Macaca mulatta: one gene and its partners. The protein of the gene in region 1 binds, or shares a complex with, the protein of each later gene. Links are inferred from orthologs where the notes say so. Each region holds a gene or a part of one and is shown in the gene's direction. Other genes may lie near its edges.

What was found.
Region 2: STAC3 (region 1) and CACNB2 share a complex: the UniProt entries of both Homo sapiens proteins name them as parts of the calcium channel complex. The link is inferred for Macaca mulatta from reciprocal best matches to the Homo sapiens genes STAC3 and CACNB2.
Region 3: STAC3 (region 1) and CACNG1 share a complex: the UniProt entries of both Homo sapiens proteins name them as parts of the calcium channel complex. The link is inferred for Macaca mulatta from reciprocal best matches to the Homo sapiens genes STAC3 and CACNG1.
Region 4: STAC3 (region 1) and CACNB1 share a complex: the UniProt entries of both Homo sapiens proteins name them as parts of the calcium channel complex. The link is inferred for Macaca mulatta from reciprocal best matches to the Homo sapiens genes STAC3 and CACNB1.

The regions. Positions count from the first base shown.
Region 1 is NC_133416.1:64,408,939-64,412,986, reverse strand, and holds the start of STAC3 (SH3 and cysteine-rich domain-containing protein 3), read left to right. Parts: upstream 1-1,198; 5' UTR 1,199-1,394; intron 1,395-2,739; exon of another isoform or gene 2,740-2,740; coding exon of another isoform or gene 2,741-2,806; intron 2,807-3,067; coding exon of another isoform or gene 3,068-3,118; coding exon 3,119-3,335; intron 3,336-3,571; coding exon 3,572-3,669; intron 3,670-4,048. UniProt on the Homo sapiens protein: Required for normal excitation-contraction coupling in skeletal muscle and for normal muscle contraction in response to membrane depolarization. Required for normal Ca(2+) release from the sarcplasmic reticulum, which ultimately leads to muscle contraction.
Region 2 is NC_133414.1:19,966,824-19,970,920, forward strand, and holds the start of CACNB2 (voltage-dependent L-type calcium channel subunit beta-2), read left to right. Parts: upstream 1-1,238; 5' UTR 1,239-1,570; coding exon 1,571-1,639; intron 1,640-2,461; coding exon 2,462-2,581; intron 2,582-4,097. UniProt on the Homo sapiens protein: Beta subunit of voltage-dependent calcium channels which contributes to the function of the calcium channel by increasing peak calcium current. Plays a role in shifting voltage dependencies of activation and inactivation of the channel.
Region 3 is NC_133421.1:76,795,384-76,799,660, forward strand, and holds the start of CACNG1 (voltage-dependent calcium channel gamma-1 subunit), read left to right. Parts: upstream 1-1,470; 5' UTR 1,471-1,663; coding exon 1,664-1,892; intron 1,893-4,277. UniProt on the Homo sapiens protein: Regulatory subunit of the voltage-gated calcium channel that gives rise to L-type calcium currents in skeletal muscle. Regulates channel inactivation kinetics.
Region 4 is NC_133421.1:63,521,969-63,525,529, reverse strand, and holds part of CACNB1 (voltage-dependent L-type calcium channel subunit beta-1), read left to right. Parts: intron 1-1,139; exon of another isoform or gene 1,140-1,255; coding exon of another isoform or gene 1,256-1,285; intron 1,286-3,066; coding exon 3,067-3,186; intron 3,187-3,561. UniProt on the Homo sapiens protein: Regulatory subunit of L-type calcium channels. Regulates the activity of L-type calcium channels that contain CACNA1A as pore-forming subunit.

The DNA.
Region 1 (4,048 bases):
GTCCAAGTAGCTGTATCCCTAACCATGGTCCTACAGGAGCTTGCCTGACTCAGTCTCCAACACAGTCCTTTATTTCTTACAGATACAAGGAATAAAGCAGCACTGCATTGCCACCTCTAAATTGCTCTCCCCTGAGATGGGAGTATCTCCTCTTTCATCTATGTCACAGCCCAAAGAGTAGGAGAAGGGTAAACCCCTGTGAGATCAGAATGGCATCTGTCTCTTTGATCCATCAGTTACATACTGAGGCATCAAAGGTGGGAGATGGAATCAGGGAATCAAAAGGGTTTAGGAAGTGTGAGGTTGGCCATCCTACCTTTAAGAGTTTGCAGTTCTCATGAGGAAGGGGACATTACTTAGAAATTATTAAAAAGATTCCTTATGTGGCAGCTATATCCTTCTGTCTAGTGTTAACTGGCCCTTTTTAATAGCCCTGGTAATTCCATTCACCCTGAGGACAAAATTTTGCAAGAAGGAGGGTGGGGAGATGTCTCTGGGAGCTGATGGAGGGAATGAAGCAATACTACATATTCTTCACTTTCTTACAGGATAGCAAAGTACTTCTCCAACCACCCACAGATAAAAAGCAATCTAACCATGCACGGTGACCCACGCCTGTAATCCTAGCACTTTGGAAGGCCGAGGCAGGCAGATCACCTGAGGTCAGGGGTTTGAGACCAACCTGGCCAACATGGTGAAACCCCGTCTCTACTAAAAATACAAACATTACCTGGGCATGGTGGTGGGCGCCTGTAATCCCAGCTGCTTAGGAGGCTGAGGCAGGAGAATCGCTTGAACCTGGGAGGTTGCAGTGAGTCCGGATCACTTCATTGCACTCCAGCCTGGGTGACAAGAGCAAGACTCTGTCTCAAAAAAAAAAAAAAAAAAGAAAGCCATCTAGTATGGCTGATAGGAGAGCTCTATGCGTTCGAATTAGTCTTTTTTTTTTTTTTTTACCCTGTCTCAAAAAATAAATGAAAAATAAAAATAAACTCCCTTTAAATGTTATATGAGCATGAACAGAAACTGTCCCTTGCTGAATTTGGCCATTATTCACCTGTTCACCTTAGATGAAGAATCAAGGAACAGCAGCTCTGGAGGGATGGGAGGAGTTAGGGTCCAGCCCTGCCCCAGACCTCTCAGTGTCCAATTTCTCTGTGTCAGCTGTGTTTCTCAGCTGTTCACTTTCCTCCAGCCCTGTCATTTCAGCCCTGACACCAAGGCAGGAGGTTAGGAGGTCTACAAATAGCGACTGGGTAGCTGGTGTGAACACAGGGTACTGGGGGGGCTTAGCCCCCAAGGAAGAGGACCAGTTTTTCCCCAGCACCACCATCAAGGCCTCGGGGCTCCCAGCTCCCTCTACAGACTGTGGACTGATTTAGGGAATCCCAAACGTAAGTTACCTCTTCATCCTCTCGATTTCCACGACTGCTCACGCCAGCTGCCCTGATCTATAATCTATTCAGCTTCTTCATTTCTTTCCTTGTCTGTGAGTCGTTTGGGTTTTAGGAGTAAAATTATTATTCTACTCTAGGATGAGTTAGGATTGGAGGGGGGGTGGGGGTGGGGTAAAGGGAATGAAGTAGTAAGGGAAGGAAAGGCTCATATTACCCTGAAAACTTAAAATAGCTGAGCCCTGAGGCAGGCTGGGACAGAACTAGGCACAGGGCCCCCAGGGCTCAAGAAAGAAGTAGGGGAGGACAAATGTCTGCAGTCCATCCTTCCTTGTGCGCACACGAGGACACACATTAAACCTCTTGAAGAGAGGAGATCTGGGAAGGTATGCATCACATCTCTGTTGCCCACAGATTCCCAAGAGAAACAAAGTACCTATAGGAAAATAACATAAACCATGCAGCCTTGAACACTGTAAGGGCTGTAAACTATGGGGTCTCCCCTCAGGATGGAAGGATGAGTATCAGTTTGAGGAACTAATTGGGGAGCTCTTTAGTCTGTTGGGATTTATTTATTTATTTATTATTTTTTATTTTTTTTGAGATGGAGTCTTGCTCTGTCACCCAGGCTGGAGGGCAGTGGCACAATTCTGGCTCACTGCAACCTCCTGGGTTCAAGCGATTCTCCTTCCTTAGCTTCCTGAGTAGATGGAATTACTGGTGTCCACCATCACGCCCGGCTAATTTTTGTATATTTAGTAGAGATGGGGTTTCACCATGTTGGCCAGGCTAGTCTTGAACTCCTGATCTCTAGTGATCTGCCCGCCTCAGCCTCCCAAAGTGCTGGGATTACAGGCATGCACCACCGCGCCTGGTCATGTTGGGCTTTTTCCTAGACTTCCATGAAATCTGTTAATAAAACCTGCCAAATGATCTGTATTTGGCCCAGTGCAGTGGCTCACGCCTGGAATCTCAACACTTTGGGGGTTGAAACGGGAGGATTGCTTGAGCTAGTTCGGGTAAGCCTAGGCAACAAAGCAAGACCATGTCTCTACAAAAAATAAAAAGGTAGCCAGGTAGTGTGCACCTTGTGTTCCAGCTACTCAGGAAGCTGAGGTAGGGGGATTGCTTCAGGCTGGGAGGTCAAGGCTGCAGTGAGCCATGATCATGCCACTGCACTCCAACCTGGGTGACAGAGTGAAACCCCATCTCAACAACAACAAAATCTCTAATCACGTTTCTCCAAAAACCTTCCCTTTGAGTACCGCCCTACTGCAAGGGACAGAAATAAGGGGGAGAAGAGTGAAAGGGATTAGATTTCATAGTGGGGTCCAACCTCTTGCAGGATGACAGAAAAGGAGGTGCTGGAGTCCCCTAAGCCCTCTTTCCCAGCAGAGACTCGGCAAAGCGGGGTGAGTCTGGGCCTGTGACCACTGGGTGTGGGGGGCCAGGAAACCTTTACAGCTGAAGAAGAGTGCTTAAATTGATCTCATTTGTGTGTGACTCATGTTTTGCTGGCCAGCACCTGCAGTCCCCAATACCAATACCTGCCTAATCCTGGGGTACATTCCTTGCCCAAAACTAGAAAACTGTCTGTTTGCTCTAACACCCCCCTACTCTAGAGAGGGTGACAAGTCCTTTTAACGTTGGGTTTTCTTCACTCCCTCCCTCAGCTACAGCGGCTGAAGCAGTTACTCAGGAAGGGTTCTACAGGGACAAAGGAAATGGAACTTCCCCCAGAGCCCCAGGCCAATGGGGAGGCAGTGGGAGCTGGGGGTGGGCCCATCTACTACATTTATGAGGAAGAGGAAGAAGAAGAAGAGGAGGAGGAGGAGCCACTCCCAGAACCTCCTAAGCTGGTCAACGATAAGCCCCACAAATTCAAAGATCATTTCTTCAAGAAGCCAAAGTTCTGTGATGTCTGTGCCCGGATGATTGTTCGTGAGTCATAAAGGGGAGTGAAGAGAGTATGATGTTGAAGGCAGAGGTTGGGGAGAGGGCATACAAGAGGAGTATTTGTAGCAGATGGGCTGTGGCTAGAGTTGGTGTAAGGCAATGCTGTTAGAGATTGAGCAAGTAAGGTCCCAGACAGAAAAGGGAACCTAAGAGTAGCAGCAGTGGTACAAAGGGAAAGGGCAATCTGGAATCTTATCTGAATTTTCTCCCCCTCTCCCAAGTCAACAACAAGTTTGGGCTTCGCTGTAAGAACTGCAAAACCAACATCCATGAACACTGTCAGTCCTATGTGGAAATGCAGAGATGCTTCGGCAAGATCGTGAGTAGGCTCTGGGGAACAAGGTGTAGAAAAGAGGTGACATGGACGGGCACAGTGGCTCACACCTGTAATCCCAGCACTTTGGGAGGCCGAGGCAGGCGGATCACGAGGTCAGGAGATGGAGACCATCCTGGTTAACACAGTGAAACCCTGTCTCTACTAAAAAATACAAAAAATTAGCCGGACGTGGTGGCGGGCACCTGTAGTCCCAGCTACTCGGGAGGCTGAGGCAGGAGAATGGCGTGAACCCGGGAGGCGGAGCTTGCAGTGAGCTGAGATTGCACCACTGCACTCCAGCCTGGGTGACAGAGCGAAAAAAAAAGAAAGGAGGAGACATGTCACCAGCTACCCCTTGCTGGTCCCTCCTCCATCCCATTCA
Region 2 (4,097 bases), on another chromosome or scaffold:
AACTTTCATTCTGAAACCCCTATTCTATGTGTTTCTAGCATTTGGCTCTTGAAGATTATATTAGTGCAGAGTGCCAAGTGGGGAGGGAGGAAGATTTTTTGAGATGGGGGGGTCTCTCTATGTTGCCCAGGCTGGTCTCGAACTCATGGGCTCAAGCAGTCCTCCCACTTCGGCCTCCCAAAGTGCTAGGATTACAGTCGTGAGCCATTGCACCCAGCCGTGGTTCTTAAGTATTCTTAAGAACACATTTTTTTTTCATTTTTATTTGTACAAAATCTTCTCCCACCACCCTCAAACAAATGCAGTTTAGACTACAGTGATAGCATTTTGTTTATGTCAAGAAAACAAAGTGTATTTCTTTACAAGTAAACTTTGAAAATGCAATTTCATTAGTACAGGAAATTAATAACTTTAGTGTCTTTCCTTCTTCAGCCTCACTCCCCTCATCTACAAGCAGAGTTGGGACTCAATTATTCTGTGAATTTTAACTCCAACTAATAAATTAACCAAGCTTTGAAATTTCTTTGTAAGTATGGTTATAACAATTCACATTGCTGTTTATGCCAGTGGCTTTATTTCAAATGGTAGTTTCTCAGTTGGAGAAGCAGTTCGAAGTCATTTTGAGCTCCGTTAAACTCATTGCTTTATAGAGCTGTGATTACTTTCATGTCCTAATTAAATGGCCACGTCTCTCTCTCGCATCTTGTTTGGAAAGTCACAAGCAATAAAGAACTGTGTTATATTATGACTGATGAGCATTATTTGATTTTTGCTATGCAATATTGCATATGATATTTACTACCTGTGAACCTGCTTTCAGCATAGGACACAGTTTCTGGAGCAGGTAATGGAAAGGGATTATTAAAGGAAACGATCTCATGCTTTGTTTTTGAGAGAAGGTTTCATCTGAAACAGAAACAGACACACATACCACGAGCCCGGTTACTATAGAACCGAAGAGACCTTTCCAGCTGTTTACACTTCGGATGTAAAATGGCAATTTGACATAGACTAACAGTGTGATGTGAGCATCTGCGTAAAAAGGCGACATATGGAGCATGCCCAGTGTGGGAGTGCGTCCTCCTCCCTCCGCCTCCCCCCTTCCCCTCGAGATCTCCAAAGATAAGGCTTGAACTTTGCACTTGCAAATGTCACTGCATACGTTTTTGCACTAGTTTTTTTTTTTTTTTTTCCTGCGATTCTTTTACAACTAATTTCCTTTAACAATTTGAGCGCAGGGAAGAGAATGTTTAGGGTTATGAGATGCATTAAGTTTAGAACGAGTTGATGCCCGGCTTCTGAATGCACTTGAAGTCTTCTTTATTTTTAAAGAAATATAAAGCACTCGAGTGTGTGTTTTCAGCCCCTCCTGGAAAGGGAAAATAAGAATTTCCCTGGATGGGAGTCCTCTGGGGCAGGGAGTGAAAGCCCCGGAGGCAGAAAGGGACGGAGCAGAGGGGCTTGCCCAGAGCATGGATAGGAAAGGAGCTGGGGTTCTCCGGGGCTCAGCGCGCACTGAGAACCTGTGCCCGGGGCTGCAGCTGCGGACGATAAAGGCGCTGTCTGGCTCATGAAGGCCACCTGGATCAGGCTTCTGAAAAGAGCCAAGGGAGGAAGGCTGAAGAATTCTGATATCTGTGTAAGCGCAAGGGCTTTCGTTTGGGGGGAGAGGTTATTGTGTTCTGCTTTTCTGTTGTTGCAGTGAGTGCAGGTAGAGAGGGTGGTTTGATTTGGTTAATCGGATCAAGATTGCAAGAGAGGGAAGCTAGGGAGATTCATCTCGTTTTTTGAGCTCCTTTCCCTGTGTTATGATTAATTGCCAGATGAGCTATCCCAGGCAGGTGTTTTCTGTAGACGGCTTTTTATTAAATCTAGGTAAAGGTATTTTAAAATGTGTTGCTGGAAGATGGAGTGAAGTTAGCTGCTAGTATCTTACAGTTTTATCAGAGAAAACAGCAGGTGTATAAAAAGGTAAACAAGGATTCTTCAGATTAAAGTGGGAATCATGTCATGGTAGTGACATTTGGGAGAGTTCAAGTTGATAACTCAGACTTTCTTTCATGTTTTTGTTAGGCTTAATGTCTTTCTGGTTTTAAATACCTGCTTTAGCATGTAGATTGTTCTTGAAGCTATCCTTGAAACCCATCGTTGTCCTTCAGTTCTGCACTGCACCATCAAGCTGTTTAATTATAAAAGCAACTTGTTCTGGCTTCCAGGAAGGGTGGTTTTTTTGAATATAAAGCTTAGGAAGGAATGGCAACTCAGTAGACACAACTATTCTATTGAATGTCTGCAAATCAGAGCATGGTTTTCTAGATAGGTTGCTGCAAAATGAATTATTTTCTCCTCTTTTCAGGAACGTATAGCACAATCCGGGAAGCTAACTGCTGTGTCGATGAGACTTTTCCAATGCAAACATCATAGATTGAATCTACTTTAAAATGTACATTTTCCTCTCCAGGGTTCGGCAGACTCCTACACTAGCCGTCCATCCGATTCCGATGTATCTCTGGAGGAGGACCGGGAAGCAGTGCGCAGAGAAGCGGAGCGGCAGGCCCAGGCACAGTTGGAAAAAGCAAAGGTAAAATCATTTCCTGCCTGCCAAGATCTTTCTTTGCAAGTTGTGCTGTGCCCCTGATAGACCACCTGTGGAAGTTTCCCCTAAAGCTTGTTTGATCTATTAGAGCATTTCATCGTCGGGTTTTAGAAAGGTACAAGAAATGGAGCCTAGTTTCTTCCCTTAGTAGAAAAGGGAAGTGTGTTGTGTAAGACTGGTCGTCTATGTTGTTTTATAATCCAAGCAACTCGTTTCTGTGGGTGGATGGCTTATTTGGACACGTACGAAAGGATCCCTGAATGTGCAAAGAGGAAAAACGGCACCTAATATCAACACATTTTACTTCATTTCCCCAGTAAATTATATCTCTGTTAAGAAAAAAAAAAAAAAAAAAAAAAAAAACAGACTGACTTCAAGCTATTGTTTATTTTCTTAGACTTGAACAGTTTTTCCCCTGAATTTTACTTCATAGGTGTTTTATATTAGTATCCTCTTACTTTCAAAATTGATTACATTATGCTTTTCAAAGAGCAACAGAGGATTTTATTGATTTTTAGAAGTTTCTTCTCTTAGAACATGTTCTTCTGCAGGATAAAGTGTGTATATATGGAAGGGAGACTGCAAAGCAGCTATGAAATAGATAGTTCCAGGATTTATCTCAGGTCTTGTCTCATTTAACTCATTGCAACGATTTGAATTCTTTTTCCCATGCTGTCCTTGGAATAGTGGCGATTTCTAAGGCATAGATTGTTCGAGTTGAAGGTAGCTTGGTTTTTGGGATACTCAGTCGCTTCCCAATGAACCTATTTTAACATGGTTGTTGATTTTCCTTTGAAAAACTTGTTTTGAAAAAGGCTAAGTGCCTTGTTGATCGTGCTAGAAATACCAGGATAGCATTTCTGCTGGCTGCTTCATCTCTGAGATGAGTAGAATCTATGTGTGTTGCTATGGGAATTGTGGTTAGGAGATTCTGGTTTGAATGCATGGACAGCCCTTATGTAATACATTATTCATGACCTCTAGCGCGGCTGCCATCCTAGTCTACTGAGGAACTGCCAGGAGACCTTGACTTCTAAAAAGCAGTACTTCTGTATATCAGAATGATGTTCTTACCTCAACTGGCAGGGAAATTTTCTCCAGGACTGACAGTCTTCTCTGAAAGGCAGTTCATAAATAGCAGATGCAGGGAGGGTTTTGTGATGGTGGAAACTGGTAAAACTGGATGTGGCCCAGTTGCCAACAACGAATCTGCTCTACCAATGTTAGCCACTTAGAACATTGTGAAGTTGAAATGAAATAATGAAGAACATTAAATAATGTATGACAGTCAGCACTGTAGTTAATATAGGTTGCAGCTGAGAGTCTGAATTCTATATTCTATATTTTGCATTGTGTGTAAAGAAAAGTAAGAAAAAACTACAATTTGTATTCTGAAAATAAGATTGTTCTATTTGTGGCTAATTTATTCATGTAAGTTTCACATACCAAAATTGAACAGTTTCTCGGGCTCATGTCCCATCATGATACAGCCCAATAGACT
Region 3 (4,277 bases), on another chromosome or scaffold:
TCTTCCCAGTTCTAACCATTGGTTAAGACTTCGGGCTCTGGGTCCTGAAACCTGGCTTCCTCATTTTCCCGCTGTGTGACCTTAGACAAGTGACTTCACGTCTCTGAGTGTCCATGTCCTTGTCTGTGAAATGGCAGTAACAGTTGTGTTACTGTGAAATGGCAAAAACAGCCACAGTCCCCTTGTGGATTTGGTGTGAAGAGTAACTGCGATGATGGATGAAGGCTCAGCAGAGTGCCTGTTAGATAGTAAGCACTCACTGAAGATGAGCCACTGCTCCTATTATCATCATCATGAACTTTCTGTGATTCCAAGGCTGGAGGCCGAAATGTTTCTGTCCACATGGGCAGAGTCTCTGTAAATCGTGTCAATCTGAGGCAAGAATTTTGAAGTTCAAGGCCCCACCCAGCTCAGGAGGCTATTCCTGATCATGCATCAGCCTCTCGGCTACACCCAAAAAGGGCCACCCAGTGAGCTGAGAAGGGAGAGATGGCACAACCCAGGAGAGACGTAGAGGCCGCAGCCTCGGGGACAGGCCTGGGGGCCAGGCAGGCGCACAGGACCCTCGGAGGGTGGTCGATCCCAGGCTTTCTGTGTTCTCTGCCATATCCGCACACCCATGAGCTCCTGATGATCCCCTATAAATCAACCTATTCGTTCTTTTTCACTCACACACATATTTTGCAAATTAAAACGTAACTGGAAAATCGTTATCACCTGCTGTTAGTAGAAGGCAAAACCAAACACAGTGCCCTGAAAACAGAACAACCAAGTCCAGCAGGATTCCTCGTCCTCTTCAGGCCGTTCTCGCTTTGTTTCAGAGGACACTTTGCGGGCAGTAATGACACTGACCTCGAACGGAGCTCTGCTCTGGACCCAGTTTTGGGGATGGAAAGAGAATTGAAAAGGAAGTAATGTTCTCGTGGAGGGATCAGAGTTGGGTAAGGCCAGGCCTGGGAACCACCTAAAATCTTCCTGTGGTTTGCGGGATGCTGTGGGGTTTGTGGCTAAAACGCTTGCCTGAGAGGTGGACTCCACAGGCCCCGGACAGGGTCCCTGGGATGTCCCTAGACAGAATCCTAGGCCCCCCAGATCCCAGGATGAGAACCTACTCACTGCCCCGCCGGTAGTAGGCTTACAATGTGGGAGCCCGGGACGGCCGTGCAGCCTGCAGCTCCTGGTCTCCTCCCCTGGCCTGGGGTGCCCTTTCCCATCAGCCCAGAGCAGACAGATCTCCACCCCTGGGGCCCTGCTGCCCACCCCTCGCCCCCTCCCAACTCAGGCACCCTGAGCTGCTACTCCATAGAGGCCTCAATCCACCATCCAGAGCCTTCTCTCCTTGCCCCGCCCCCCACTGGGGTATTTCTGGCTCCCAGAGGGGCAGACAGCGCTGAAACCCGAGCAGAAGCCGTCCCCGGTGCCACGCCTGGAGAGGGGCATTAATAGCAGCCTTCCTCAGGCCCCTGACGCGTCTGGGCAGCTGCTCAGCACATCCCGCGTCCCTCAGCCCCAGGGCCAGCCCACTCTGGCTCAGCCAGGCACACTAAACTTAGTGGCCACTCCCAACTCGACAACCACCGCCACCCCCCAGCTCGGCTGTCACCTGCCGGAGGAGACGCAGCCGCCGGACCCTGCCCAGGGCACCCACGCCTCGGCGACCACCATGTCCCAGACCAAAACGCTGAAGGTCCGCGTGACCCTCTTCTGCATCCTGGCAGGCATCGTGCTGGCCATGACGGCCGTGGTAACCGACCACTGGGCTGTGCTGAGCCCCCACATGGAGCACCACAACACCACCTGCGAGGCGGCCCACTTCGGCCTCTGGCGGATTTGTACCAAGCGCATCCCCATGGACGACAGCAAGACCTGCGGGCCCATCACCCTGCCCGGGGGTAACGTACCCACCCTCCGTCCCGATCCCCACCTCCCGCCCTTCCCCGTCGTCCCCCGGACAAATTTGCCCATGCCAAGGAAGGCAGGTTTCTCAGGCTAGAGATAGGGCAGCCGCCCAGCCCTTTCTGCCCAGGGAAGAAGATCTGAATTGCATGTGCTGTGCTGGTGGCTGGGGCTGGGTTGTAAGACGAGGGCGTTTGTCCCAGCTATTTCTGTCTGGCTGGACCCTGGGGCTTTTCGCCCAGAACAGAGAGCTGGGCAGGCTCAAGACGGGAACCGCAGCTCTACCAGCCCAGGGACTTCTGGGCTCCATCTGGTCACTCTCTCCCTGCAAAGACATGCTGGGTGGCTCTGTGTCCTCAGGCTGGGGGAAACCATGGAGCTGGCAGGTTTGTCCCTGGCCTCAAGGCAGGGGAGGAGAGAGGACAGGCGACGGAATATGCAGGGTCCTGTGCAAAATGAAAATGCAGGGTTCCTTGCTCCAAATTACCAAGGATTTCAAGGCAGCGATAGCAGCACATGAATCCAAGCATGGACCCTTGTGGGCCCTGGGCCTGGAGAAGCTGCACAGGTTGAATGCCTGTGAAGCAGGACGTGGCTGTGGGTGAGCCACCTGCCCCTACCTTTTTTTTTTTTTTTTTTTTTTTTTTTTGAGACAGAGTTTTGCCCTGTCGCCCAGGCTGGAATGCAGTGGTACAATCTTGGCTCACTGCAACCTCCGCCTCCTGGACTCAAGTGATTCTCCTGCCTTGGCTTCCCCAGTAGCTGGGATTACAGGCATGCGCCGCCACACCCATCTAAGTTTTATACTTTCAGTACAGACGGGGTTTTGGCATGTTGACCAGGCTGGTCTTGAACCCCTGACCTCAGGTGATCCACCTGCCTTGGCCTCCCGAAGTGCTAGGATTACAGGCGTGAGCCACCGTGCCTGGCCTCCGCCCGCCCTTTTGTCAGGACGTCAGTCCATTATGCATCCTCCGTTAGCTCAGACCCTGTCAGAGTTACAAAGCATTTCCTCACCCTGTAATTTAAGCGTATTCCTCGATTTCCTACCATGTGACCGAACCACATGTCGAAGGTAAGCTCCTTTTCAGGAGTACCTGGTAGTTGCATGACTAGCCTCTATTCTGCAAATGCCGAGGCTTCTGGATTCTTAGCAAATACAGCACTTTAGAGGAAAGGGTGCTACGTGGAGACCAGGCGGCCAGGGATCTAGTCACCATTGCCCATTACCCTCAAATGACCATCCAGCGAGGACAAAGATCATCTCAGCCTCTGCTTCTTCCTCTATAAAATATGGGACTGACTCTCAGCAATGTAAGATCCCTTCCCAGGTTTACAGACGCCCATCCACAGTGGCAGTGGAGCAGGGTTATGTCAGTGTGATGTCCCACCTGGTTTTCAGGATTATTCCCTCTTTTACCAGACTTTGGTGTTCCTTGAAACCTGTCCTTCAAGGACACTAGGGCTGAGTCCCCAAAGATCTTGCAGTCTGCATGTGAACCAAAGAGCCAACACCCCAACCTCCCATATCTCTGCTCCCTCTTCTTTCCCTGCTGCTTGCTCCAGAGATCCCCTCCCTCATTCACGCCCACTGGACGCCCAGAAGACTCGTAAGTGCCCAACTGTTATAGAAACACCGAGTCCCAGGGCTGAGGGTGACAGGTGTGGCCATGTGCTGGCAGGGTATCGCATAGCCCGGATGCCCATGCCCCTTGGCGACTGCCAAGCACACCCATAAACAGGCAATCCCTCCAGCCAACTCCCCTGGGCAGGGCAGGGCAGGGCAGCTTCTTCAGGGACCGCGCATAGGGACGTGCTGTTACAGTCCTGTTCACCCGTCCTTGGAACCATCTGCCTTTTAAAGTCAGAGCAGAGGACTGGGCAGTGAGCAGAGTCCACACAAGGAAGAGACAGGCTGGTGAGAGGTGACTAGACCAATTACAGGGGACCAACAGGCATTGCTTGTTGGACCAACAGGCCTTGAGCCTGACCAGGATCTACCTCTTTGCCTTCTTAGCCTAACCAGCTATGAACCATACTTCCCACACTTGTGACACTGAGCACTACCTTTCTCCCAGTCATCTTCCAAAATATGTTCCTGCCTTTTTCCCTCTCTTTTCTCTGCAAATGGACATCTTTCTCCTTCCCCATATGCCCTTCTTGTGCCCCCTGGGACCATTCTTGTCTGGAGGGAGGAAGCGGGTTCATATGTGGCCTCTCATTTATTATTAACAACAACAACAATAATAATGGCACATACACGTAACCCTATGTGCCGAATATTGTTGTAAATGCTTTACATGTTTCAACTTTGAATGACATCACGAAAAAGATGATAGAGAAAAAGAACTTCCAAAAATCTTCTTCTCCATAAAAGCAAT
Region 4 (3,561 bases), on another chromosome or scaffold:
CCATGACCTCTCCTGGATGTGCTGTCAGCTGCACCCACTCGCTCAGCCCCCGCCCCTGCCTGGCCCCTCCCCCAGCACCAGGCACCCTCCCCTGCTGCCTGCTGGCCTGCGTCATCTCATTCAGGGACAGCCTGGCCTGCCTCCCTCTAGCTTGCTTCGGGCTGTCACCCACTCCCCCTGCCGGCTGTCTGCTTCCATGTCCTCCCCCAGAATCTGTGACAGGGTGGGGTGGAGGCAGGTCCTAGGAAAAGCAGAGCGAGGATGTTTGGGTCCCTGTAGTCCTGGTGAGGTCCTGGTCAGGGAAACACGCTCCTCACCTCAAGACTTGACTATCTAAGAAGCACAGAGAAAGGGTGATGGTGACGGGGATGGGGGTGGTTGAGGCATGAGGCTGTTAATTTTATAATAGAGAAGACGGTAGCGCAGCACCACTGCCTGAAAGGGTGTAACTGAGAGTAGCTTTCTGGGGTCTCCTGTGCTCGGTCAGTAAGTGGCTGCTCTTATCTCTCTGTCAATCTTAGGCTCAGGGTGAGGCACGGAGAGAGGCATGTGGTTGCTATGACTACTTAGCATCTCACCAAAGCCTGGTACCCAAAAAAGGCGAGAGGGGCTTGGAATTAGACAAGGAAAAGGCGTGCATTGAAGAGGAAATGGGCAGGGCATTCGAGGGCAGAAGACAGCACAGAGGAGGGGTCCTCTGGAGATGAGCCCCTCCCTTCCACCTTGGGCCAGGAGCGAGAGTGATGCCAGGCAGATCCACCACTAATTAGAGTGAGGCCCTTCTTTCTGATTCTTCTGTCTCTACAGCACTTGGCACATGTGAGCCTCAGTCTGACTTGGGAGCTTCGGGAAGGGGAGGCTTCATTCTAGTCTTTTCTAAGTATAGGAACAGACAGGAAGTCCTTTCTTCAATCACTCCCTCATCCCTCCTGTTGCAGGACTTGGCCAGGGCTAGGAAGAATGACGCTGTGCTTTTATTGCCCCTCTTGGCAGAAAAGGACCTTGGCTCCTTCAGTGTTTGCCAACCCAGGGAGTCAGACCCCAGCCTCCAGTTCTTCCTCCTTTTAGCTCCCCAGCTCTGATCCCCGGTAGGTGGTGGGGAGTGGTGGGGGAGCAGTCCTTGCCACATCTCTGAGCTAAATATACCCTAGCAGTTTGCACATGTAGCAACTCTGCTTGTAACCTGAGCCCCCGAGGGAACGGGCAGTTTGGGCCACCCCCTAGGCCAGCAGGGCCAGGCACTGAGGGCGCCGGGATGGAGGCGCCCAGCCGGACCCTGGTGGTGGTGAGCTGGGGATGGAGTGGGGTGGCGGCGGGTAGAACAGCCTCTCAGGAAAGCTGGCGGAGGGCGGCCTTTCCTCCAGCCTGTCTCCATGCCTCCTCACTGTTTCCTGTCTTCTGCCATTTCTGATGTATGCGTGTGTATGCGCATGCGTGTGTCTGCATATGTGTATGTGTGCATGTGCCTACGTGTGCATCCGCGTGCACCTGTGTGTCTGCATATGTGTGTGTGTGTCTGCCCGCACATGTGTGTCTGCGTGTGTGCATGTAACTGTGTGTGTGTTGGGGTCGGTGAGTGTGCGCGTGCATGGGCCTGCGTCTGTGTTGGAGTTGGTGAGTGTGTGTGTGTGAATGCGCGTGCCCGCATGTGTGTTGGGGTCGATGAGTGCCTCTCTGCTAGTCTGTCTCCCTGTTTCCCTGGCTCTTTGACTCTGTGTGCTCCCATCAGGGTGGAGAGTGGGAGCTATGCTGGTTTTCTCTCCCTCCTTCATGCCTCTCGCCCCACCCCAACCCTTCCCCCGCGGGTCTCCCATTTTCATGATTTGGCTGGGAAAGAGATGGGGAGCTGCACCAGCTAATGACCTGGGGCCCCTGGGGAGAGGTGGGACTTTGTCTTCTGTCTTTCCCAGGTTCCCTCCATGCCAAACTCATGGACATTCCTGGCCAAGTGACCCTTTTATACCCTCAGGAAAGAACCCCTATATCTCTGCAGTCCTCCTCTTTTGCCACATAACCTCCTATGCCTTGTCCAACACCACTCCCACATAGTCACACGAATCCACACTTCCTTACTCCTGCACTCACATGTCCCCCACCCTCAGGGTCATAGATATCTGGGAGGCCCCCGCCAATACACTCGCATGTGGCTCTACACATGTGGTCATATGTAGCCAACTATAGAGCACGCCCTCCTCCACACACTTGTACTTGCACATCCTCGCACACACGTGAATAAGCACATGCATTCCCACTACCAGGTCTGTATGGGCGACATGTGTCTTACACATATGTGTGCATCCCTAAAGGAGTCCCTCGTGCTCTGGGTTGGTCACTGTGGTCAAAGCCAGCTGCCTGGCACCCAGCAGCCCTCATCTCAGGGAAAGCCCTGTCCCATATCCTGCTCTTAACTTGCCTCTTCAGTCTGCACCAGCCTGGAAATCTTGGGTTCTCTTGTGTCCTAGGAGAGCCTGAGGATTGGGGCTCTAAGTAGTGAAGTTTGATTTTGGCAGTACCAGGTAAAGGAGCAGGGGAGGTAGGAGTCTATCTCCCTCTACCCTTGAACAGAAGTTGGCAAAATCTGTGGTGGCCCCATCCTGTGGAGCAGGCCATCCGCGGCTGATAGTGCAGAAAGCTCAGGCCGAAGCTGGTGGCTGCAGTCCCTGGAATGGATGCCACTGGACCTCGGCTGAGTCTATCTCAGTGGGTGCTGGGGGCAGGGGAGGGAAGGAGCAGTGGGAGTAGAGACTCGTCCCTGGCATTCCTCCCTTGCCTTGTGCCCCTATCAGGTTCCCACCCCTCCCTGGGCCCCAAGCAGCTGTCCTTGGGCCTGCCTTCATCTCCTGCTTGCTGCTGTCACCCTCACTAGGGCCACACTTTCCCCAGGGGCCTGAGAAATCTCAGCTCCTGGTCCCTTCCACCTAATACCACCTTCTCTTAGCCCTTGTGGCGTCATGCTGGGCTGGCTGGGGCTAGAGGCATCCATGATGGGTGGCACCTCCATGCCTTCCCAGGCCCAGGAGCTGGGAGAGGCAGCAATGGCCCTGATCTGGCTCTCTGTATTTTCAGGGCTCAGCGGAGTCCTACACCAGCCGTCCATCGGACTCTGATGTATCTCTGGAGGAGGACCGGGAAGCCTTAAGGAAAGAAGCAGAGCGCCAGGCATTAGCACAGCTCGAGAAGGCCAAGGTGAGAAAGATGTGGGAAGGGGCGTGCTGGCATGATTTCCCTGGGCCATAGAGAGAGCCCGGGCAGACCCAGGGCCAAGTCTTGACTCAGCCACTTCCTAGTACCCCTGAACCTTGCGTCTCTGTCTTCACCTGCACAACGTGGGCTATAATACCTGCCTGGTTATACAGTATAATAAGTATAATAAGTGCCTGTTATTATACTGTTTCCACACACAATAAGCGCTTGAGAAGTGCTAAAAATTTCTTTTTCTTTTTTTTTTTTTTTTTGAGATGCAGTCTTGCTCTGTCACCCAGGCTGGCATGCAGTGGCGTGATCTCAGCTCACTGCGACCTCCACCTCCCAAGTTCAAGTGATTCTCCTGCCTCAGCCTCC